5 linked regions of the Kluyveromyces lactis genome follow. The protein of the gene in region 1 purifies or fractionates together with the protein of each later gene. This does not show direct contact. Links are inferred from orthologs where the notes say so. Each region holds a gene or a part of one and is shown in the gene's direction. Other genes may lie near its edges.

Region 1 (4,862 bases):
CTCTAACTGGAGATCTTTCACGCGCTTGGTAGCCTTCTCCGCTGCCTCTTTGGTAGTCTTCTCTTGGTGCGTAGTCTCTGTTACCGTAACCGCCACGGCCACCGTAACCACCGCCACGACCACCAAAGTCACCGTAACCGCCTCTTGGACCACCGTAGCCACCACGGCCACCACGGAAACCGCCTCTTGGACCACCGAAGCCACCGCGACCGCCAAAGCCACCTCTTGGACCGCCAAAGCCACCGCGACCGCCGAAACCGCCACGGCCACCAAAGCCACCTCTTGGACCACCGAAGCCTCCACGGCCGCCGAAACCACCGCGACCGCCGAAACCACCACGGCCACCAAAGCCACCGCGACCGAAACCGCCACGGCCTCTAAAACCACCACGACCACGAGAGGATCTGATTGGTGGTGGGTTTTCATCTTTTTCAACAGCCAAAACTGAACCACGGAATTCGATGTTGTTCAACTTTTCAATGGCTTCCTGCAGGATCTCTTCGGTTGGGAATTCAAGAGCACCAGTACCGTCAAAGTCTCTGGTGTTGACACTGGAGAAAGTAGTTTCTAACTGGTTATCTCTGGCCAAATCCTTCAATTCTTGCCAAGCACAGCCTTCTGGCAAGTTTCTGATAATGACTCTGAATCTTGGCTTTAACTTCTTGGAAAATACAACTTCCAATGGGTAGTCGGCAAACATTTTACCGGCAACGTTTTGAATAGCTTGGGAAGCAGACTCAGCTTCTTCAAACTCAACAAAAGCGAACCCATTTAAAATCTTTATTTCCTTCAAAGCACCGAAAGGTTCGAAAATTTCCTTCATTTCAGCATCAGTGACATCTGGAGGGAAAGGCTTCACAAATAGTCTGGTATCAGAAAGCTCTTCATCGTCATCAACTCTATTATTGAAATTTTCATAACTTTGAGGTGGTGGAGCAGTTTCATATGGCTTTTCATATGGCTTTTCATATGGCTTTTCATAGGTTTCTTCTTCGACAGCTGGAGGAGGAGGAACGTCAGACATCTTGATATTTCGCGAGTAAGTGTTCTTGGTTGTACCTTGAGCAAAAGAAGTGAAACACTAATATCTTAGTCAAAAACAATACTGCAACGCCACTCAACGATGATGGAGTAGAATTTTTTTTCCAAAAACCAGGTTTTAAATATGTCTTTATATATAGGAGAAAGTGAAAATTTTAAATGAACATCGGGAAAAGAAAAGACAGAAGAGAATAGTGTCAAACAAGGTTTGGTAGGTAGGGTAAAACTCTGGAATCCTCGGTACAAGTCTTTTTAGAATGAGTGCTGATAAGTATCGCATGCACAGATATAAGCCCTCATACAAGTCATACTCCTACCAAATACGATCTGAGAGGCTATATTGATCAAATGCTCTCATTGCTACTTGTATTTACCATTGTTATACAGAAAGGTAAGAGTGACACATGTATCACGTGACTTGAACTTCAGTTTTTCATTTTTTTAACTCGTCAGAAGTGAGACCGTAGTTCATAGCTGTTTTTCTTCGATAGTATGGAATCCTGGAGGAAAGATACTAGAGCATGCCAAAGGTCTCTTAACATATTGATAAGTCAATTTAGCGAATTTATCTCAGAGGCAAGAAACGAAAAGCCAAGCGAACTAGCAGTTTAGAGGGGATATTTCCGATATTTTGACCGTTCGTTTTCTCTTTGCATTTCTTTTATCTATTTATTCGCAATAAATCGTTATAGAATCGTTGACGACAGTAATCATTGATTAATATACCAAGATCGAAAAAACTGGGTTTGAAATATAAGCGAAGGAATATTGAATCTAAATCCAGGTGGAGAATTCTTGCATTATAAAATACCATGTTTCAAATTCGTAACTATGCCACAAAATATGCACAGTCTCGGGCGCTGAGGAAGTACCCAGTAGGTGGCGTTTTTCACGGATATGAAGTGAAACGATTACTTCCTGTCCCTGAACTAAAGCTAACAGCCGTGGATTTATTGCATAACCAAACCGGTTCACAACATTTACATATTGATAGAGATGATAACAACAACGTGTTCAGTATCGGATTCAAAACCAATCCCCCGGATTCAACTGGTGTGCCACATATTTTGGAACACACAACTCTTTGCGGTTCTCATAAGTATCCTGTTCGCGATCCGTTCTTCAAGATGTTAAACAGATCGTTGGCAAACTTCATGAACGCTATGACTGGTCATGACTATACTTTTTACCCGTTTGCTACCACTAATGAGACGGATTTTGCTAATCTAAGAGACGTTTACCTTGATGCAACTCTAAATCCATTGTTGAATCAGCAAGATTTCCTACAAGAAGGTTGGAGGCTTGAACACACTAAGGTTGATGATCCAAACAGCGATATAGGTTTCAAAGGTGTTGTATACAATGAAATGAAGGGTCAAGTATCCAATGCTAACTATTATTTCTGGATTAAGTTTCAAGAAAGCTATTATCCATCCTTGAATAACTCTGGTGGTGACCCAACTAAAATGACTGATCTTCAATATGAAGATTTAATCAGTTTCCACAGAAATAATTACCATCCTTCTAATGCTAAGACGTTTACATACGGGAACTTCGATTTGAACAATACCTTACAGAGGTTGAATAAAGAATATCAAGGTTATGGTAGAAGGGGTTCTAAGAAGAGGGAACTATTACCAATCCAAATGAAAGAAGATGTTTCTGTAGAAACCGAAGGACAGGTTGATCCTATGTTACCACCGGATAAACAGATCAAGACCTCTGTGACTTGGATTTGTGGTAAACCTGAAGACACGTACCAAACATTTCTATTGAAGATCTTGGGTAATTTATTATTAGACGGACATTCCTCTCCTTTCTATCAAAAACTAATTGAAAGTGGGCTGGCGTACGACTTTTCAGTTAACACTGGTGTAGAGTCGCAGACTGCTGCAAACTTTATCACTATTGGTGTTCAAGGATGTGATGAAGTGGATTCGATATATGAAGTTATTAACAAAGTATGGGAAGAAGTATTACAGAATCCGTTTGAGGAGTCTAGGATCCAAGCAATCATTCAACAATTAGAGTTATCTAAGAAAGACCAAAGGGCAGATTTCGGTTTACAATTACTGTACTCGGTTTTACCAGGATGGGTTAACAAGACTGATCCATTTGATTCTTTATTGTTCGATGAGACACTAGAAAGATTCCAAGAAGATTGGGCCACTAAGGGTGATAATTTATTCAAAGACTTAATCAAAGAATTCGTGATTTCAAAACCTGTATTCAAATTCACCATGAAGGGCTCAGAAACGTTCTCTCAGAAACTTGATGCTGAGGAACAAGAACGTTTGGAGAGAAAGTTAAAGCTCCTTGACGAAGAAGACAAAAAGGTCATTTTCGAACGTGGTAAACAATTGCAAGAACTACAGGACCTCAAAGAGGATTTGAGTTGCCTTCCTTCATTGCAAATTAGTGCAATTCCAAGAGTTTCAAAGACATACCCATTGTTAGAGAAGGATAATGTTTTAAATCGTATTACCGATACCAATGGTATTACATACGTCAGAGGTAAGCGTTTACTAAACCACCATATTCCAAGAGAACTTTATCCTTTCCTACCATTATACGCAGACTCATTGACGAACCTTGGTACTTCAACTGAAGAGTTTTCCACCATTGAAGAACAAATCAAATTGCACACTGGCGGTGTCTCAACTCGCGTATCTGTAAATCCAGATGCACAGACTGGTAAGCCTATGCTGCTATTCCAAGTTGATGGATGGGCTTTGAACAGCAAAACCGATCACATCTTCAAGTTTTGGAAGAAACTTTTATGTGAAACTGATTTCCATAAGCACAAAGAAAAGCTAAAGGTCTTAATAAGATCATTAGCATCTTCAAACACAGCGTCTGTGGCTGAGACTGGTCATGCTTTTGCCCGGAACTTCGGTGCTGCTCATTTAAGTGTAACTAAAGCCATCAACGAAAGTTTAAACGGTATCGAACAGTTACAGTTAATCAATAAGTTATCTCAATGTTTGGATGATGAAGCACTATTTGAGAAAGAAGTGGTTTCAAAATTGGTTGAGCTTCAATCATATATAAATGGCAGTTCAGACATGAAATTCATGATCACCAGTGATTCTCAAGTTCAAATCGATGCAGTTCACCAACAAATCACGGGCTTTTTGAGCTCCTTACCCAAGGATTCAAAACCATGTGACTTCTACTCTGAGAATTACTCAATGTTGGAAAACCCAGGTAAACCAACCCTACTCCAGTTCCCATTTCAGGTTCATTACACCGCCAAGTGTTACCCAGGCGTTTCCTATACCCATCCTGATGGCGCTAAGCTACAAATCCTTTCTAACATGTTGACACACAAATATTTGCACCGTGAAATTCGTGAAAAAGGTGGCGCATATGGTGGTGGTGCTACTTACAGCGCTTTGGATGGTACTTTCAGTTTCTATTCTTACAGGGATCCTCACGCTTTAAATTCTTTGTCCACATTCGATAGCGTTCCAGAATTCATATTGAACAAGTCTTCGTGGGGTGAACCAGACTTGAATGAAGCGAAATTGAGTGTCTTCCAACAAGTAGACTCCCCAATGAGCGCCAAAAACGAAGGTACCATTTTATTCCATTACGACGTAACAGACGAAATGAAACAACGTCGTAGAGAGCAACTTTTAGACGTCAACTTGAATGATATACATCAAGTGGCAGAGGAATACCTCAAGCAAGATAAATCCATTGCCTCCATAGTTGGTCCGGAAATCCCAAATTTTGATGCCTTAGTTCAAACCGTGTAACGGGAAGCTCTTTCTTGTACATAATACAACCACATTATATATATATATATGTATTTATAA
Region 2 (3,575 bases), on another chromosome or scaffold:
GCATATGGTTCCAAGCCATACCAAATATTATATACAATTCACAGATGAAAATACACTCAAGCGACCAGATTGGATACTACTCACCAGTCATAACCTTTCCCAAGCTGCATGGGGTCCCAGCCCACTAAAAAAACCTACCAATTACGAATGCGGTATTCTATACACGACAACCATGGGGAGAAACAAAGTACGGTTAACACTAGCAAGTGCCCAACAACCGCCAGGAAGAACAATTGGGTCAAGGGTACCCGAAGACATAACTGTTCTGCCCACAGTAAAAGTGGTGACGCCGTATCCATTGAAATTTCAGCGTTACTCAGCAACTGACGAACCTTATACCTCTGTCGTTCAATGATGATATACACAATAATACCATCTAACAACATTCTAAGGCGCTGACATCTGTCAGCGCTTTACGTTACCCGGATTATTTAGGTATCACACCGGAATAACAGAAAAATTGACAATGTCCGCATCATTCCCACGCATCACGTGCCCCCACCCTTTTCCGTCGTTTGAACACCTATACACCTCATCGCCTCCATCAATCTCATCTGCTATGTCGTATTCTCCCGTCGCCAAAACAGGTTTTTTCAGCAGATTTGTGATGGCGCACTTACTATGCGCTAGCATATCTATGAGATAAATACAACGGTATAGCAACCCGCGAATCGCTCGACCCGTACAGTCGAAACGAATAAAAAAAAGCTTATGCAGCGCATATATATTCCTTTAAAGGATTTTGATTTCACCAATATATAAAGAAATATAAGAGGGTCATTTCAGCACCAGGGAAGTTGTTAGTTCTTTAGAGTCGTTATTCCTTTATTCATTGTATTATCTTCTGTTTTGTGTTTCATTTTTTATACTTTATGGATCTGTAATTCAATACTTGTTTAATCTTACTTTATAATTTCTTAAAGGTTTTATAAATCTTACTACAGATTCTCATCCAATCCCACTCAATTAGCGGTTCCCTGAGGCTAACGTCTATTTGTTGAATAGGTCAAAGAACGAGTTTTTATTTTTTTTCAGTGAAAAAATAATATCAAATTCAAGAAATTATAAAAAAGAATTCAGTTGAAAAGGATCCTTTTTAGTTATAGAATTGACAATTGACTATCTAATTTGTCTGTCTTATAACAAACGCATCTCAACAACTTCTGTCTGTTTGTTTATTGCTTCGTTTTTGTTTTCGAATTATCAAAACATTATTTCTTCTACCTTTAAAAGAAAAAGAAAAACGAAAAGATATCAAACTCTAGTATAATATTCATTCTCCTTTGGTTCAGTAAACGTTTTACAAGCGAAGACAATTTTAAAGGTTAAGAAGAATTACACGTAGTGAAACGAAACGTTAGTACCCGATTGATAAAAACTTTCAACTGGCAAAATTATTAAATACTAATACAACATGATGATGCTTTCTAACACTTTTAAGAGGGCTGTTCCTTCTGTGGTTCAATCCATGAGATTTGCTTCTACCAAGACCATGACCGTCAGAGAAGCTTTGAATTCTGCCATGGCCGAAGAAATGGACCGTGATGATGATGTTTTCATCATTGGTGAAGAAGTTGCTCAATATAATGGTGCTTACAAGGTTACCAAGGGTTTATTGGACCGTTTCGGTGAAAGAAGAGTTGTTGACACTCCAATTACCGAAATGGGTTTCACTGGTTTGGCTGTTGGTGCCGCTTTGAAGGGTTTAAAGCCAATTGTTGAATTCATGTCTTTCAACTTCTCCATGCAAGCTATGGATCAAGTCATTAACTCCGCTGCTAAGACTTACTATATGTCCGGTGGTACTCAGAAATGTCAAATCGTTTTCAGAGGTCCAAACGGTTCTGCTGTCGGTGTTGCTGCTCAACATTCCCAAGATTATTCTGCTTGGTACGGTTCTGTTCCAGGTATGAAGGTTTTGGTTCCATACTCTGCTGAAGATGCTAGAGGTTTGTTGAAGGCTGCCATTCGTGATCCAAACCCAGTTGTTTTCTTGGAAAACGAATTGTTATACGGTCAATCTTTCGAAGTCTCTGAAGAATCTCTGTCTACTGATTTCACTTTGCCATACAAAGCAAAGGTTGAAAGAGAAGGTTCTGATATCTCTATCATCAGTTACACCAGAAATGTTCAATTCTCTTTGGAAGCTGCTGAAATTTTGTCTAAGCAATACGGTGTTTCTGCTGAAGTTATCAATTTGAGAGCCATTAGACCTTTGGATGTTGAAGCTATCATCAACACTGTCAAGAAGACCAACCACTTGATTACTGTTGAATCTACTTTCCCAGCTTTCGGTGTTGGTGCTGAAATTATCGCTCAAATTATGGAATCTGAAGCCTTCGATTATTTGGATGCTCCAATTCAAAGAGTTACTGGTGCTGAAGTCCCAACTCCTTATGCTAAGGAATTAGAAGATTTTGCTTTCCCAGACCCTGACACCATTGTCAGAGCTGCTAAAAGTGTTTTGTCTATTGAATGATTGCACCGTGCACTCTTTCTTTACTGACAGTTATGCACCTCTGTTGGCCTCCGTTTTTTATCAAAACAAAAGAGAATATTCATTGGATAAGGAATAGTGCATGATGGTTCATTCGCATTCGGTTTTTCTTATGATTGTACTCCTTTGTTGCAATAAACTAAGTTATGAATTGATTTACAAACTTCAAAGAAAAATAGAAAAATTAAAACATATTATATTATTAAGATATGAATACCAAGTTCAGTTAATACACGATTTTGGATTAGGAAATAGAATGAGATAGAGTTGCCTGTCGTTGAATTATTCGCTGGTAAAGGTAAGTTGATGAATTAGAGATTTTACAATTTTTTTTCATGTATGTTGCCCATCAGTAATGATGAAGAAAAGTTTTCATCACTAGAGATGGGAACAATAAGGTATTTGGGGACAACTGCGGTTGTTATGAGATTAAACTGTATATATATATTCTGCCGTTAAAACAAGACGCTGTGCGCTACTTTCTGTACAACTTGTCGTTATTTCCATCAAGGTATTGTCTTTTACACTTTCTAAGCTGAAATGGCTTTAGCGATGTAGGATACATTAGAGGGTTTAAGACTGGACCAGGAGAGAGGTTCATAACACTTAAATTGGAAATTAAGCTTACCAAGTTGTTAACAAATATAAGGGCAGCTATTTGCCTGAAATGGCAGAATATTCGTCGTTTATGGGGAAGTATTTTTTTTCGCTAAGAACTATTAGCCAAACACTTACGCATGTACACACAATCAGGCACTTTTAGGCCATCCAATGCGTACTTGACGTACTACTGGAATGAATTGAATAGGTAAGGAGAGAGACCTATCAGTTACGCTAGAAGGTTTCAGTTGAAATGTTAAGAAACAAAGGAGATTATTTTTCTTCAAATATTCGGATTGGTTGCCAGAAAATGCGTTTAGATATGTATCTGATATGTAAGTACCGTAGATGTGTAATTTTTGGATCCGTAATGAATGAAATGCTTGTATCTAAACTGACTTATAACGTCGAGGGTGTATTCTCAGTCAGAAATACACAGCCTTCGATTTTTTTTTCAATCTGGCAAAATTGAAAATTA
Region 3 (4,160 bases), on another chromosome or scaffold:
TTGTACTGGGACTTGTAAGGAAACGCCAAAACTAAAGATGTTAAAAAAAAAAAAACGTGAAACCAACGTTAAAATATGTATACAAACGATAGTAATGAACATGTAAATAAACTGAAGATAGATCGACGCTAATATGAAGCTTTCAAACTCTACACAAGCGCTAGAATACGGAATGAGCGTTCCACCTACAGTTGCTGGATCTTTAAATTCGTTACACTCGAAAACCTACCATTCAGAAGTACCCAAATCGATATTGGAAAGTACGGATGAGATCATCCTGGGAGTAGATGAAGCAGGAAGAGGACCTGTAATGGGCCCCATGGTTTATGGTATCAGCTATTGCACGCGTCAATATGAAAAGGACGTAATATGCAAATATGGATTCGACGACTCTAAGAAACTAACCGATCCAGTGAGACAGAAACTGTTTGCCATGATCTACGGAGGAGAAATAGACGGAGTTGGATACGCTACAACATCTATAACTGCATGTGATATCAGCAGCGGGATGTTCAGGTTCCCACCAGAAAAGAATTACAATTTGAATGAACAGGCGCACGATGTGACAATCGCATTGATAGACGATGTATTGAAATCTGGTGTTAAAGTAGGTCACGTGTACGTCGATACCGTGGGTCCGCCTATCTCGTATCAAAAGAAATTGGAAAGTATCTTCCCACAGTGCAAATTCACCGTTGCGAAAAAGGCTGATTCTATTTACCCCATTGTAAGTGTTGCGAGTGTGGTAGCAAAAGTGACCAGAGATATCATCCTTTCACAATGCAAGAAAACCGAAGATGAAATCCTTGGGTCAGGGTATCCTGGTGACTCAAAAACCGTTCAATGGCTACGAAACGAGATGAAACCATTGATGGGATGGTCTCCCTACATGGTACGGTTCTCTTGGCAAACATGTGCCACGATGCTCGCAAATAGTAAATCTACCATCGAAATAGAATGGGAAGAAGACGCAATGACCAAGAAAAAAATGCAGTGGGCACCCGAACAGAAAAACAGACCTATTACACTTGATTCCTGGTACCAGTAAACCCTGACTCATTTCCATTTATCCTACTATCTATATATACAACGTATTATGAATTTATCTATTGACAGTCGCGACGCTGTCATCAGATTACGAAATAAGCTACCCGCATTCGAGATTTGCATTGCCTGGCACAATTGTGGCCACCGTTTAGGCCGCTGGCACTAGCCAAAAATTGACACTAGTAAACTCCCTACACCACATATTAATCGGTAAGTTACTCTACTCCATCAATTGTGAAAGCATTTATACAGCTCAAGAGCAGGTTTGGGATTGAGATAAATATCATCTCGAGAAATACCATTATATAAAGCTTTATAACTATCACGACGGAAACCCTTCTAGCAGCTATCAGTTTGCAGCGGATCACGGGCATGTTTCTGTTCATCCCACCTTCTATCCCGTCGCACCATTATAGTGTGGATATTTTGGATTTCGAAAATTCTGAAAACTGAAATTCTCAAGAAATAAAAGGAAAAAGGTTAGATGGGAGAACATTTATCTGTAAATAACATCGATTAGATTGCACAAGAGAAAAAAAAATGATTGTGATTCGCTAGTGCATTTGACGATACTATTGGAACACTGATTACACCTGTTGGTAATTGATCTCGCTTGAAAGAAGAAGATTGAAATAATACATCAAGCCTTTTCCTCCTTCATTTAGAACTGAGATATCAATATTTATTAAGGTTACATTTCACTACGAATTGGACACAGGAATTGACTGTACCAGAAGATAAAATCGGCTTACATTTGATATTCAATTGTATTAACCAAGTTACGGGAACGAATCAATTGTTTGTGTACATATATTAAGAAAAGAACTAGGAAAAATGTCTGCATTACTTTCTAGAGTTGCTCCAAGAATGAGCGTCTTGGCTTGTGCTGCCAGACTTCAATTGAGAACGTATGCTTCTTACCCACCATACACCATCATTGGTATGCCAGCTTTGTCTCCTACCATGGTTCAAGGTGGTTTGACGGAATGGAGTAAGAACGTTGGTGACAGGTTGGAGCCTGGTGATGTCCTTGCTGAAGTTGAAACTGATAAGGCTCAAATGGATTTCGAATTCCAAGAAGAAGGTTATTTGGCTAAGATCTTGGTTCCAGCTGGTACCAAGGATATCCCAGTGAACAAGCCACTTGCTGTTTACGTTGAGGAAGAATCTGACGTTCCAGCTTTCGCTAATTTCACTGCTGCAGACGCCGAATCTGCTACCGCTGCTAAGGAAGCTGCCAAGAATGGTGCTAAGCAACCTGCAAAGGAAGAATCCAAGGAAGAATCCAAGGAAGGTGCTAAACCAGCTTCTAAACCAGCTGCCAAGAAATCCTCTGGATCTTCTGCTTCTTCAGGTACTAGAATCTTTGCTTCTCCATTGGCCAAGAGCATCGCTTTGGAACATGGTGTTTCCTTGAAGGAAGTTGAAGGTACTGGTCCAAGAGGCAGAATCACTAAGGATGATGTTGAAGCCTTCTTGGCCTCGGCTCCATCTCGTGAATCCTCCGCTGCTAAGGCCGCTCCAGCCCTAGCTGCCCCAACTCCAGCATCCGCCACTTATGAAGATGTTCCAATCAGTAACATGAGACAAATCATCGGTGACCGTTTGTTGCAATCCACTCAAAATATTCCATCATACATTGTTTCCTCTCAAATTAGTGTTTCTAAGCTTTTGAAGTTGAGACAATCCTTGAACGCTACTGCTAAAGACCAATACAAGTTGTCCATCAATGACATCTTGATCAAGGCCATTGCTGTTGCTGCTCAGAGATGTCCAGATGCTAATGCTTACTGGATGCCAGAACAAGGTGTCATCAGAAAGTTCAAGAACGTTGACGTCTCTGTCGCTGTTGCTACCCCAACCGGTTTGTTGACTCCGATCGTCAAGAACGCCGAATCCAAGGGCCTTGTTTCCATTTCTAAGGAAATCAAGGACTTAGGTAAGCGTGCTAAGGATAATAAGTTGAAGCCAGAAGAATTCCAAGGTGGTACTATCTGTATCTCTAACTTGGGTATGAACCCTGCCGTTTCCATGTTCACCTCTATCATCAACCCACCACAATCTACCATCTTGGCTATCGGTACCGTTAACAAGGTCCCAGTCGAAGATGCTGGTTCCGAATTCGGCTTCACCTTTGACCAAAAGATGAATATCACTGGTACTTTCGATCACAGAACTATCGATGGTGCTAAGGGTGGTGAATTCATGAAGGAATTGAAGAAGGTTATTGAAAACCCATTGGAACTATTGTTATGAACAGATTCAGAACCTAACAAATCTAATGATCAAAAATAATAAAGTTAAGAATTTCAAAGTAAAGAAGAAAAAAGCCTACCCACCAACATTCCAAAACGAATTCTCCTAGTCGAAGTTTTTCGACCGTATGCCAATAGCCACGCTTTCCTTTTAACAACGTTGTAGGTCAGTTATGACTTATTCGACCCACAACCTTGCATGGAAAGAATTCGATTTAACATACTGCAACTATGTAAAAAATTACCATTTCTATAGATATAATGTAAGAAATTGAATATCTCATGTTTTTACCATTCCTCGCAATCGCTTTGCATAACAGCACTCTCTCCGATTTACTGTATATACTACTGAACTTATTCTCTCATAGCAGTCCCCAAGGTTCTTTTAATATTTTAGACCACGTGACTGTTTTTACATTGCCCGAAATACAGGAATAAAGTTGGAAAAAAAATGTTTACAAAAGAAGACAAGTTTGTGCTAACACTTTGACCAGGTAATGTATCTTAATTGCAGGCTCAGTTCCCTTGACCTCGTTGAACTTTAACCGTTAAGAGACAAACATTACCGAAAACAGATCCACCATGGCATTCTTACCATCATTTATTCTATCCGACGAATCCAAGGAACGTATTACTAAAATTCTGAATCTAACCCAAACCGTTGCGCACTATGGCTGGTTACCATTTATTCTATACTTGGGCTGGACTCATACTTCTAACAGACCACACCCATTGAACCTATTATCTCCTTTGCCAAGTGTTTAAAAAAGCTGCTGAGTGATTCCATGCTCCTACAGAATATGTCCTGTTTACACGTATATCTATGATCCATGTATGTGTATATCTTGTAAATATATT
Region 4 (3,918 bases), on another chromosome or scaffold:
ATCATGAGAAAAGATGCTATCGAACAAGATTTGACGCAACAAAGAACAGAGAAAGAGTACCTCGACGACGTATCGTTGGAAATTGAATTGATAGACGAGGATGAGAAGGTACAATATAAGATCGGAGACGTCTTCGTATTTCTAAAACAGAAAGAAGTAGTTGAAAAGTTAGAATCCGATGCTGAAAACATCGACAGCAATATAGAAAAGCTAGAGAGCGATGAGGCGGAATTGGACTCAAGAATAAAAGAGCTAAAGAGTATATTGTATGCCAAATTCGGTGACAACATCAATTTGGAACGTTGAGCCCATAAATATACATTGCTGAAGTGCTTGATAGAATTGAAAAAATATCCTTAAACCGAGTAATATATGTTTGCGTATAAAATCTACATAGAAAATAATAGTAAAGACCGACACAACGTTGATTCAGTCCATAATGCAATCAAACAGCATGTTCTTTCAGCCCACCTAACGCATGAACCTCCTGGTCTTCTTCTATTTCAAGCCCCCAATTAAAATGTTGGTTCATTTCCTTGAATTTAGCGACAAACTCTTCTGGCAAATCCAAACTAAACCCATTGAATAATGTATATTCATGCGTTATAGTCCCATCAAGTTCATGTGCCACATTCACTAAATCATTGTAGTATTGGAAGCTGTCAGGATATATAACCATAAGTGAAGATACTGTATTTGACGATGACGATGATGATGTTAGTAAAGTTGAGAATTAAAGGGAAAAAAAAGGGTTAAGAAAATCCGTCCTTAAACATACACGAACTGGCCAACGCCGTTCCAATAAAAATAGGTGCAAATCTCATATCTGCGGCTAATGCTTTGTTATTACTGTTGCTACTCTATTCTTTGTTCTTGCTAACAATCTCCCTTATCCTTCATATATCATGATTCATTATTCTTTTATATGGATATCATATCTCATAGTGAGTATTTGGCAGAAGGAAAAACTGGTAATCAAAAAAAAACAACGTGATCATAAATTAATAAACGTTACCCGGTTTGAATCACGTGTTAATCACGTTCTTGATAGCCCGCCCTGCGCCTTTCGTGTCGGCCCCCGTACGGCTTCCGTTTTTTTAGGTTCGTTTCGTTATTTTTCAACTGATTTCATTCAATAGTTTCAATTTTTGTCGATTCCGAAGGTTTCCCTGTTCCCCACGTCAAGACAGTTGCAACTTTTTTGTGATGAGCCGTCGCCTTTATAGATCACACCAGCGAAACAGCTTTTCACAAAGATACTTCTGTTCACTGTGTTATCCCATTTCGATAATTAATAGTAATGACTCTGGCAGTTTGGAAAGCTCAATAGATTGATAAAAAAAAAACTGGTTCTTCAACTTAAAAGTTGCGCAAAGGAACGATGAAATATAGATCAGTTAAATAAGTGGTCTTCTCTGGAATACTACAGTATTTTTTCGAATTACAATCCGTTCAATTATATAATTGTAGTTTATATATGGTCCGTACCGTAGTGAATCACCAAACCCTACCGCATCATGCTGGTATTTGAGTCCTGTAGATCAATTTTCTTGCTATTTAATTGATCAAACCGTCTAATAGTTGTATTTATTTGGGATCGTAATCTTTTTTTTCCATTCCAATTGACATTAATATAAAAGGAATTCACTAGGATATTTTATATTTCAAGAAATATATCAAGTGAAACCACAGAGAAAGGGTTCAGATAACGTATAAGTAAGAGGTTAGAGGATTATCTTATTTATCTTGTTTATTTATATCCGCCCTAATCAAAGATGTTGAGATTCAATTCTACCCGTTCCTTTAGCTCTTCTGCTCTTTTGAAAACCGTTACTAAGAAGCACGACTTGGTCGTTATTGGTGGTGGTCCAGGTGGTTACGTTGCTGCTATCAAGGCTGCTCAACTCGGTTACGATGTTGCTTGTGTTGAGAAAAGAGGTAGACTAGGTGGTACTTGTTTAAACGTTGGTTGTATCCCATCCAAGGCTTTGTTGAACAATTCTCACCTATACCATCAAATGAAGACGGATGCTAAGCAAAGAGGTATTGATATCAACGGTGAAATCAACATTAACGTTGCTCAATTTCAAAAGGCTAAGGACACTGTCGTCAAGCAATTGACTGGTGGTATTGAAATGTTGTTCAAGAAGAATGGTGTCACTTACTACAAAGGTTTAGGTGCCTTTGAAACTGACAAATCCGTTAAGGTTCTTCCTGTGGAAGGTCTGGAAGGTTCCGTTACTGAAGATCACCTCTTGGAAAGTGACAGGATTATTGTTGCCACTGGTTCTGAAGTGACTCCATTCCCAGGTATCACCATTGATGAGGAAAGAATCGTTTCTTCTACTGGTGCTCTTTCCTTGAAAGAAATCCCAAAGAAATTGGCTATCATCGGTGGTGGTATCATCGGTTTAGAAATGGGTTCAGTTTACTCCAGATTGGGTTCTAAGGTCACTGTGATCGAATTCCAACCTCAAATTGGTGCTACCATGGATGGTGAAGTCGCTCAAACTACTCAAAAGATTTTGAAGAAACAAGGTCTCGACTTTAAGTTGAGCACCAAGGTCTTGTCTGCCTCCAGAAACGGTGACGTCGTTGACATCGAAGTCGAAGGTGCCAAGAATGGTAAGAAGGAATCTCTCCAAGCTGATGTCTTGTTGGTCGCTGTCGGCAGAAGACCATACGTCGCTGGTTTGAACGCTGAAAAGATCGGTTTGGAAGTCGACAAGCGTGGTAGATTGGTCATTGATGAACAATTATCCACCAAATTCCCACACGTCAAGGTTATCGGTGATGTTACCTTCGGTCCAATGTTGGCTCACAAGGCTGAAGAAGAAGGTATCGCTGCTGCCGAATACTTCAAGGTCGGCCACGGTCATGTCAACTACGGTAACATCCCGGCTGTCATGTACTCCCACCCAGAAGTCGCTTGGGTCGGTAAGACCGAAGAACAATTAAAGGAAGCTGGTATTCAATACAAGATTGGAAAGTTCCCATTCATCGCTAACTCTAGAGCTAAAACCAACATGGACACCGAAGGTTTCGTTAAGATTTTGATCGACGCAGAATCTGAACGTTTACTAGGTGCTCACATCATTGGTCCTAACGCTGGTGAAATGATCGCTGAAGCCGGTTTAGCATTGGAATACGGTGCTTCTGCTGAAGACATCGCTAGAGTTTGTCACGCTCATCCAACTCTATCCGAAGCTTTCAAGGAAGCTAACTTAGCTGCTTACGCCAAGCCAATCAACTTCTAATTTTTCTTGATAAAGCGAAGTGGAAAAAAAAAATTGCGGATAATTGAAGCTGCTTGATATCAATAACTATAATAAGCTACTTAACAATGGTACGTCGTATCCAGTTGTCGTCTATTTTTTTTTTTATTTATCTCGCCATCTGAAGCATCTTTCTTCTTATATATTCCTCGAATCATTCTTTGATTTCAAACTATACATTGAAAAGTAAAGATTATCAAAAATAAATAGTAAACACGTATAATATATTTAACGTAAATGATATGAAATGTTTGTAAACGAATTCTCAGAACATTCTCAGCTTGTGTGTAATAGGCACCACATCGTTATATCAAAAAAAGAGATCATTGGTCCAGAATGAACAGGGGAAATAAAAAGATTGGACGAGTCCGGAGTCGAACCGAAGACCTCTCCCATGCTAAGGGAGCGCGCTACCAACTACGCCACACGCCCTAATTTCTTATTAACAAGAGTTTTGAGTGAACCATCACCACTCCGTGTAAACATGATTTTCTATTTATATCATTACGTTTCACAATACTAACTTATAACGCATTTTGACCATTCAAATCTTATTCAGAAGCAAGAAAGATGGAAACATGGTCAGTGAAGTACCCTTGGAACAAAAATAGGCCCTAATCTATAAATTTACTACATACTCAAA
Region 5 (3,824 bases), on another chromosome or scaffold:
TGATGAGACTCAGTCCAAATGACACCTTTGAAGTCTCTTTCGACAATGATATTTTCGTTTTGACCAGAAAGGAATCTTTTGATTCTTCTGATACGAGAACCAGGCACAACGCAACAATTATAAGATTGAGCAATGGTGTCAACTACGGTCCTAATCAAGGAACCAGTGACCTTCGTAGCGTTGAAATCAGCTGGAAGTTTGGTCAAATCGTTTGCAGCAGCTAATAAGTTAGTGACGGACTCAACAGCGATATGGGTGGCAGCTAGAGCATCAGCTTTACCACCTAGCAAAGCAGCTTCAGGTAGCAATTTTCCAGATTGGGCATCCTGAACGGTTGGGTAAATGACCACGGTGTGGGACACGTTACAAGTGTACCCATCGATGTGACAACCCAAAGTGATCTTAGCGACATCACCAACTTTCAAAAACCCAGACAAACTAGAAGTAACACCGTTACATAGCTCGATCGATTTGGTAGATCTAGATTTTTGGTTCCAACGGGACAAGTTTTCGATGTCATCCACTTCAGGACACCAGTTCTCGTTTATTTCATCGATATCAATACAAGTTGGCATTGAGATTCCCTTCTCGTTAACCTTATTGTTGAACTTAGTACTTAAACAATCGGCTATGAACGAATCAGTCAATAAACAAAGTTGATGAATCGGTAGCGGCTCCATAGACTTCTCATGATACATCTTATTGATCAAACTGATCAAAAAGTTTAAAGCAGTCTGAGCAATTTGACCTGCAGTTCTATATTTCTCAATTGTTGGTTCGATCAATACATTCTTATCTTTCAATAACACCTGAGTGTCTTCCTTTGAGATTTGTAACGCCATAGTACGGATAATTTTATCCACAAATTATTAGTATTAGCTGTTTTCTGATACAAAGGAGGGAACGATACACTATGATAATGATGTAAGTATGTACCTCGTTTCTCTTTACCTCATCTCATCTCATCGCTTTAAAGTTTTCACTGATACTTTTTTTTTCCAAATTTCTTTCCTGGATACAACCTTTCCTGCCACACAGCACTAAGATATTTCAAAAAATTTTCCAAAATATTACCCGGACCTCGATCAGAAGAGAATGAAAAAGAAATCACTTTCTGATCACGTGCGCCAAAAGTATTAATATTCGGGTAATGTGTATCATTAGAACTCATGACCCGCATATTATCCGGGTAATAGATCTGCTGCCCATGTTCCACCCAAACACCGCGCTGTGCACGTCACTTTTCCCACTCTTTCTAACAACAATCCCGTCTGTCTAATTGAATCAGCACAATAAACTCTACCTACACCAGACGAAACTGTCAGATATCCCATAATAAGTAGAATATCAATACTCTCCGCATCATCAGCTACCCAACGGTTCAAGTTTGACCCCAATTAGAGCAAAATTGACCTTGCTTATACCCACTTCTTGTTATTTCAAGTCCCTTATCTATACCGACTGGCTGGCTACGAAATTTTTTGAAGTTTTTTTCCCAAGTTCACAAGTATTTAAAGGCGGATTTAATTGTGAATATGATGAGAAACAGTTGTTGCGTGATTAAGAACCTTTTTTTGGTCTTTCAGTGATACTGAGCCAAGCAATTGATTAATTGACTGACTGATTGATTGATTGATTGATTTTTGTCAAATTTTTTGGAACAAGGAATCGTTCATTAGTTGGCTTTTTTTTGTTTTAATATAGAATCAGGAACTCAGAGCTTCTTCTTCTTTATTTCTTCTCTATACAACATATTTTGCCATCACTACTGCTGAGTGTGTATTTGTGTGTTCTAATTGTTGGTCGCTATAGTAGTTAATACCGAAAAGAACAATAAATTAGGCAAACCATGCTATCTTTGAAAGCTCAATCCTCTGTGGTTGGGAAGTCCAGCTCTTTGAGATTGGTTAGAAACTTTTCTAAAAACGTCCGTGCTTTGTCCCAGGTTGCTGATGAAACTAAGCCAGGTGATGATGACCTAGTTCAAATTGATTTGCCAGAAACCTCTTTTGAAGGTTATCTTTTGGATGTTCCTGAATTAAGTTATCAAACCACCAAGTCCAATTTGCTACAAATGTACAAGGATATGATTATCGTTAGAAGAATGGAAATGGCCTGTGACGCTTTGTACAAGGCTAAGAAAATTAGAGGTTTCTGTCACTCCTCTGTCGGTCAAGAAGCCATTGCCGTTGGTATTGAAAACGCTATCACTAAGCGTGATACCGTCATCACCTCTTACAGATGTCATGGTTTCACCTACATGAGAGGTGCTGCTGTTCAAGCTGTGTTGGCTGAATTGATGGGTAGAAGAACTGGTGTGTCCTTCGGTAAGGGTGGTTCCATGCACTTGTACGCCCCTGGTTTCTACGGTGGTAATGGTATCGTTGGTGCCCAAGTCCCATTGGGTGCTGGTTTGGCCTTCGCTCATCAATACAAACACGAAGATGCTTGTTCTTTTGCCTTGTACGGTGATGGTGCCTCTAACCAAGGTCAAGTTTTCGAATCCTTCAACATGGCCAAGTTATGGAACTTACCAGCCGTCTTCTGTTGTGAAAACAACAAGTACGGTATGGGTACCGCTGCCGCAAGATCTTCAGCCATGACTGAATACTTCAAGCGTGGTCAATACATTCCTGGTTTGAAGGTTAACGGTATGGATATCTTGGCTGTTTACCAAGCTTCCAAGTTCGCTAAGGACTGGACTGTCTCCGGTAACGGTCCAATCGTTCTTGAATACGAAACTTACAGATATGGTGGTCACTCTATGTCTGATCCAGGTACTACTTACAGAACCAGAGATGAAATCCAACACATGAGATCTAAGAACGATCCAATTGCAGGTTTAAAGATGCACTTATTGGAATTGGGTATCGCCACGGAAGATGAAATTAAGGCTTACGACAAGGCTGCTAGAAAGTACGTCGATGAGCAAGTCGAATTAGCTGATGCTGCCCCAGCTCCAGAAGCTAAGATGTCCATCTTGTTCGAGGATGTCTACGTTCCAGGTTCTGAAACTCCAACCCTAAGAGGTAGATTGCAAGAAGATACTTGGGATTTTGCTAAGAAGAGCTTTGCTTTCAGAGATTAGAGCAAGAACGAATTAGGTAATTGAACGTTAAAGTTAACTTCTTTGCGTTTATCCTTTTTTTTATTCCCATCTCTCTACTCTTCCCTTTTCGAAAGACAACTATATTCCTATAAACTGCCCTTTCACAATATTATGCTATAAGGTTCACAAGATGATACTATTTGTATAGTGCATCTGCTATTTTCCACCAATCAATATTAAAGTACCAAAATCATAAAAAAACACCTTTTAGATACAAGTGTTTTTTATTCATTTCATTCACGGTATGGTTTCTATTCAGATAACTGTTTTTTTCGGTTTTAAAACATGAATGTTCATCTGTGACTTCTCATTCTCTCTCTCTCCATGAGACTTCGTTGATGCTTATTCTCAATGCCGAGAACATTATCTGGTTACTGATGCCTGCCATTACGGATTACCTGCGTTTTAATTTCTTCCCAAACAAAACAACGATACAGAATTTTCTCATTACTCCCAAAAACTACCTCAATAATTCGTGCTACAATCTTCTTTTCTTACGTTGATCTTGCGCCTGTTATAAACATGATTTATTGTGAACTAGGTTTTGTAAACTAATCTGACATTGTTCTTCACCATAAATTGTCTCTCCCCTTTTTGGTTGCTACGATACAATGTCGTCAAATGCGAAGCCGCATATTAGACAGATGAAAAGTTACAATACCTTGTCCATCATTGAATCATCTACTCACCTTTCTAATGACTGATCTCACGACGA

The links.
Region 2: the proteins of CYM1 (region 1) and PDB1 purify together in Saccharomyces cerevisiae (affinity purification with mass spectrometry; 3 studies listed by BioGRID). This does not show direct contact. The link is inferred for Kluyveromyces lactis from reciprocal best matches to the Saccharomyces cerevisiae genes CYM1 and PDB1.
Region 3: the proteins of CYM1 (region 1) and LAT1 purify together in Saccharomyces cerevisiae (affinity purification with mass spectrometry, with the first as the bait; 3 studies listed by BioGRID). This does not show direct contact. The link is inferred for Kluyveromyces lactis from reciprocal best matches to the Saccharomyces cerevisiae genes CYM1 and LAT1.
Region 4: the proteins of CYM1 (region 1) and LPD1 purify together in Saccharomyces cerevisiae (affinity purification with mass spectrometry, with the first as the bait; 3 studies listed by BioGRID). This does not show direct contact. The link is inferred for Kluyveromyces lactis from reciprocal best matches to the Saccharomyces cerevisiae genes CYM1 and LPD1.
Region 5: the proteins of CYM1 (region 1) and PDA1 purify together in Saccharomyces cerevisiae (affinity purification with mass spectrometry; 3 studies listed by BioGRID). This does not show direct contact. The link is inferred for Kluyveromyces lactis from reciprocal best matches to the Saccharomyces cerevisiae genes CYM1 and PDA1.

Annotation. Positions count from the first base shown.
Region 1 is NC_006038.1:73,601-78,462, reverse strand, and holds CYM1 (pitrilysin family metalloprotease), read left to right. Parts: upstream 1-1,853; coding exon 1,854-4,802; downstream 4,803-4,862. Other genes in the region: mRNA-binding protein NPL3, read right to left, coding at 1-1,024. UniProt on the Saccharomyces cerevisiae protein: Degrades mitochondrial transit peptides after their cleavage in the intermembrane space or in the matrix, and presequence peptides; clearance of these peptides is required to keep the presequence processing machinery running.
Region 2 is NC_006042.1:881,682-885,256, reverse strand, and holds PDB1 (pyruvate dehydrogenase (acetyl-transferring) subunit E1 beta), read left to right. Parts: upstream 1-1,414; coding exon 1,415-2,479; downstream 2,480-3,575. Other genes in the region: TDP1 (tyrosyl-DNA phosphodiesterase 1), read left to right, coding at 1-355. UniProt on the Saccharomyces cerevisiae protein: The pyruvate dehydrogenase complex catalyzes the overall conversion of pyruvate to acetyl-CoA and CO(2).
Region 3 is NC_006042.1:462,250-466,409, reverse strand, and holds LAT1 (dihydrolipoyllysine-residue acetyltransferase), read left to right. Parts: upstream 1-1,881; coding exon 1,882-3,303; downstream 3,304-4,160. Other genes in the region: ribonuclease H2 catalytic subunit RNH201, read left to right, coding at 134-1,048. UniProt on the Saccharomyces cerevisiae protein: The pyruvate dehydrogenase complex catalyzes the overall conversion of pyruvate to acetyl-CoA and CO(2).
Region 4 is NC_006040.1:950,274-954,191, forward strand, and holds LPD1 (dihydrolipoyl dehydrogenase), read left to right. Parts: upstream 1-1,775; coding exon 1,776-3,257; downstream 3,258-3,918. Other genes in the region: tubulin-binding prefolding complex subunit GIM3, read left to right, coding at 1-306; KLLA0_D11143g (uncharacterized protein), read right to left, coding at 446-690, 779-824.
Region 5 is NC_006042.1:1,099,580-1,103,403, forward strand, and holds PDA1 (pyruvate dehydrogenase (acetyl-transferring) subunit E1 alpha), read left to right. Parts: upstream 1-1,849; coding exon 1,850-3,088; downstream 3,089-3,824. Other genes in the region: ARX1 (putative hydrolase), read right to left, coding at 1-842. UniProt on the Saccharomyces cerevisiae protein: The pyruvate dehydrogenase complex catalyzes the overall conversion of pyruvate to acetyl-CoA and CO(2).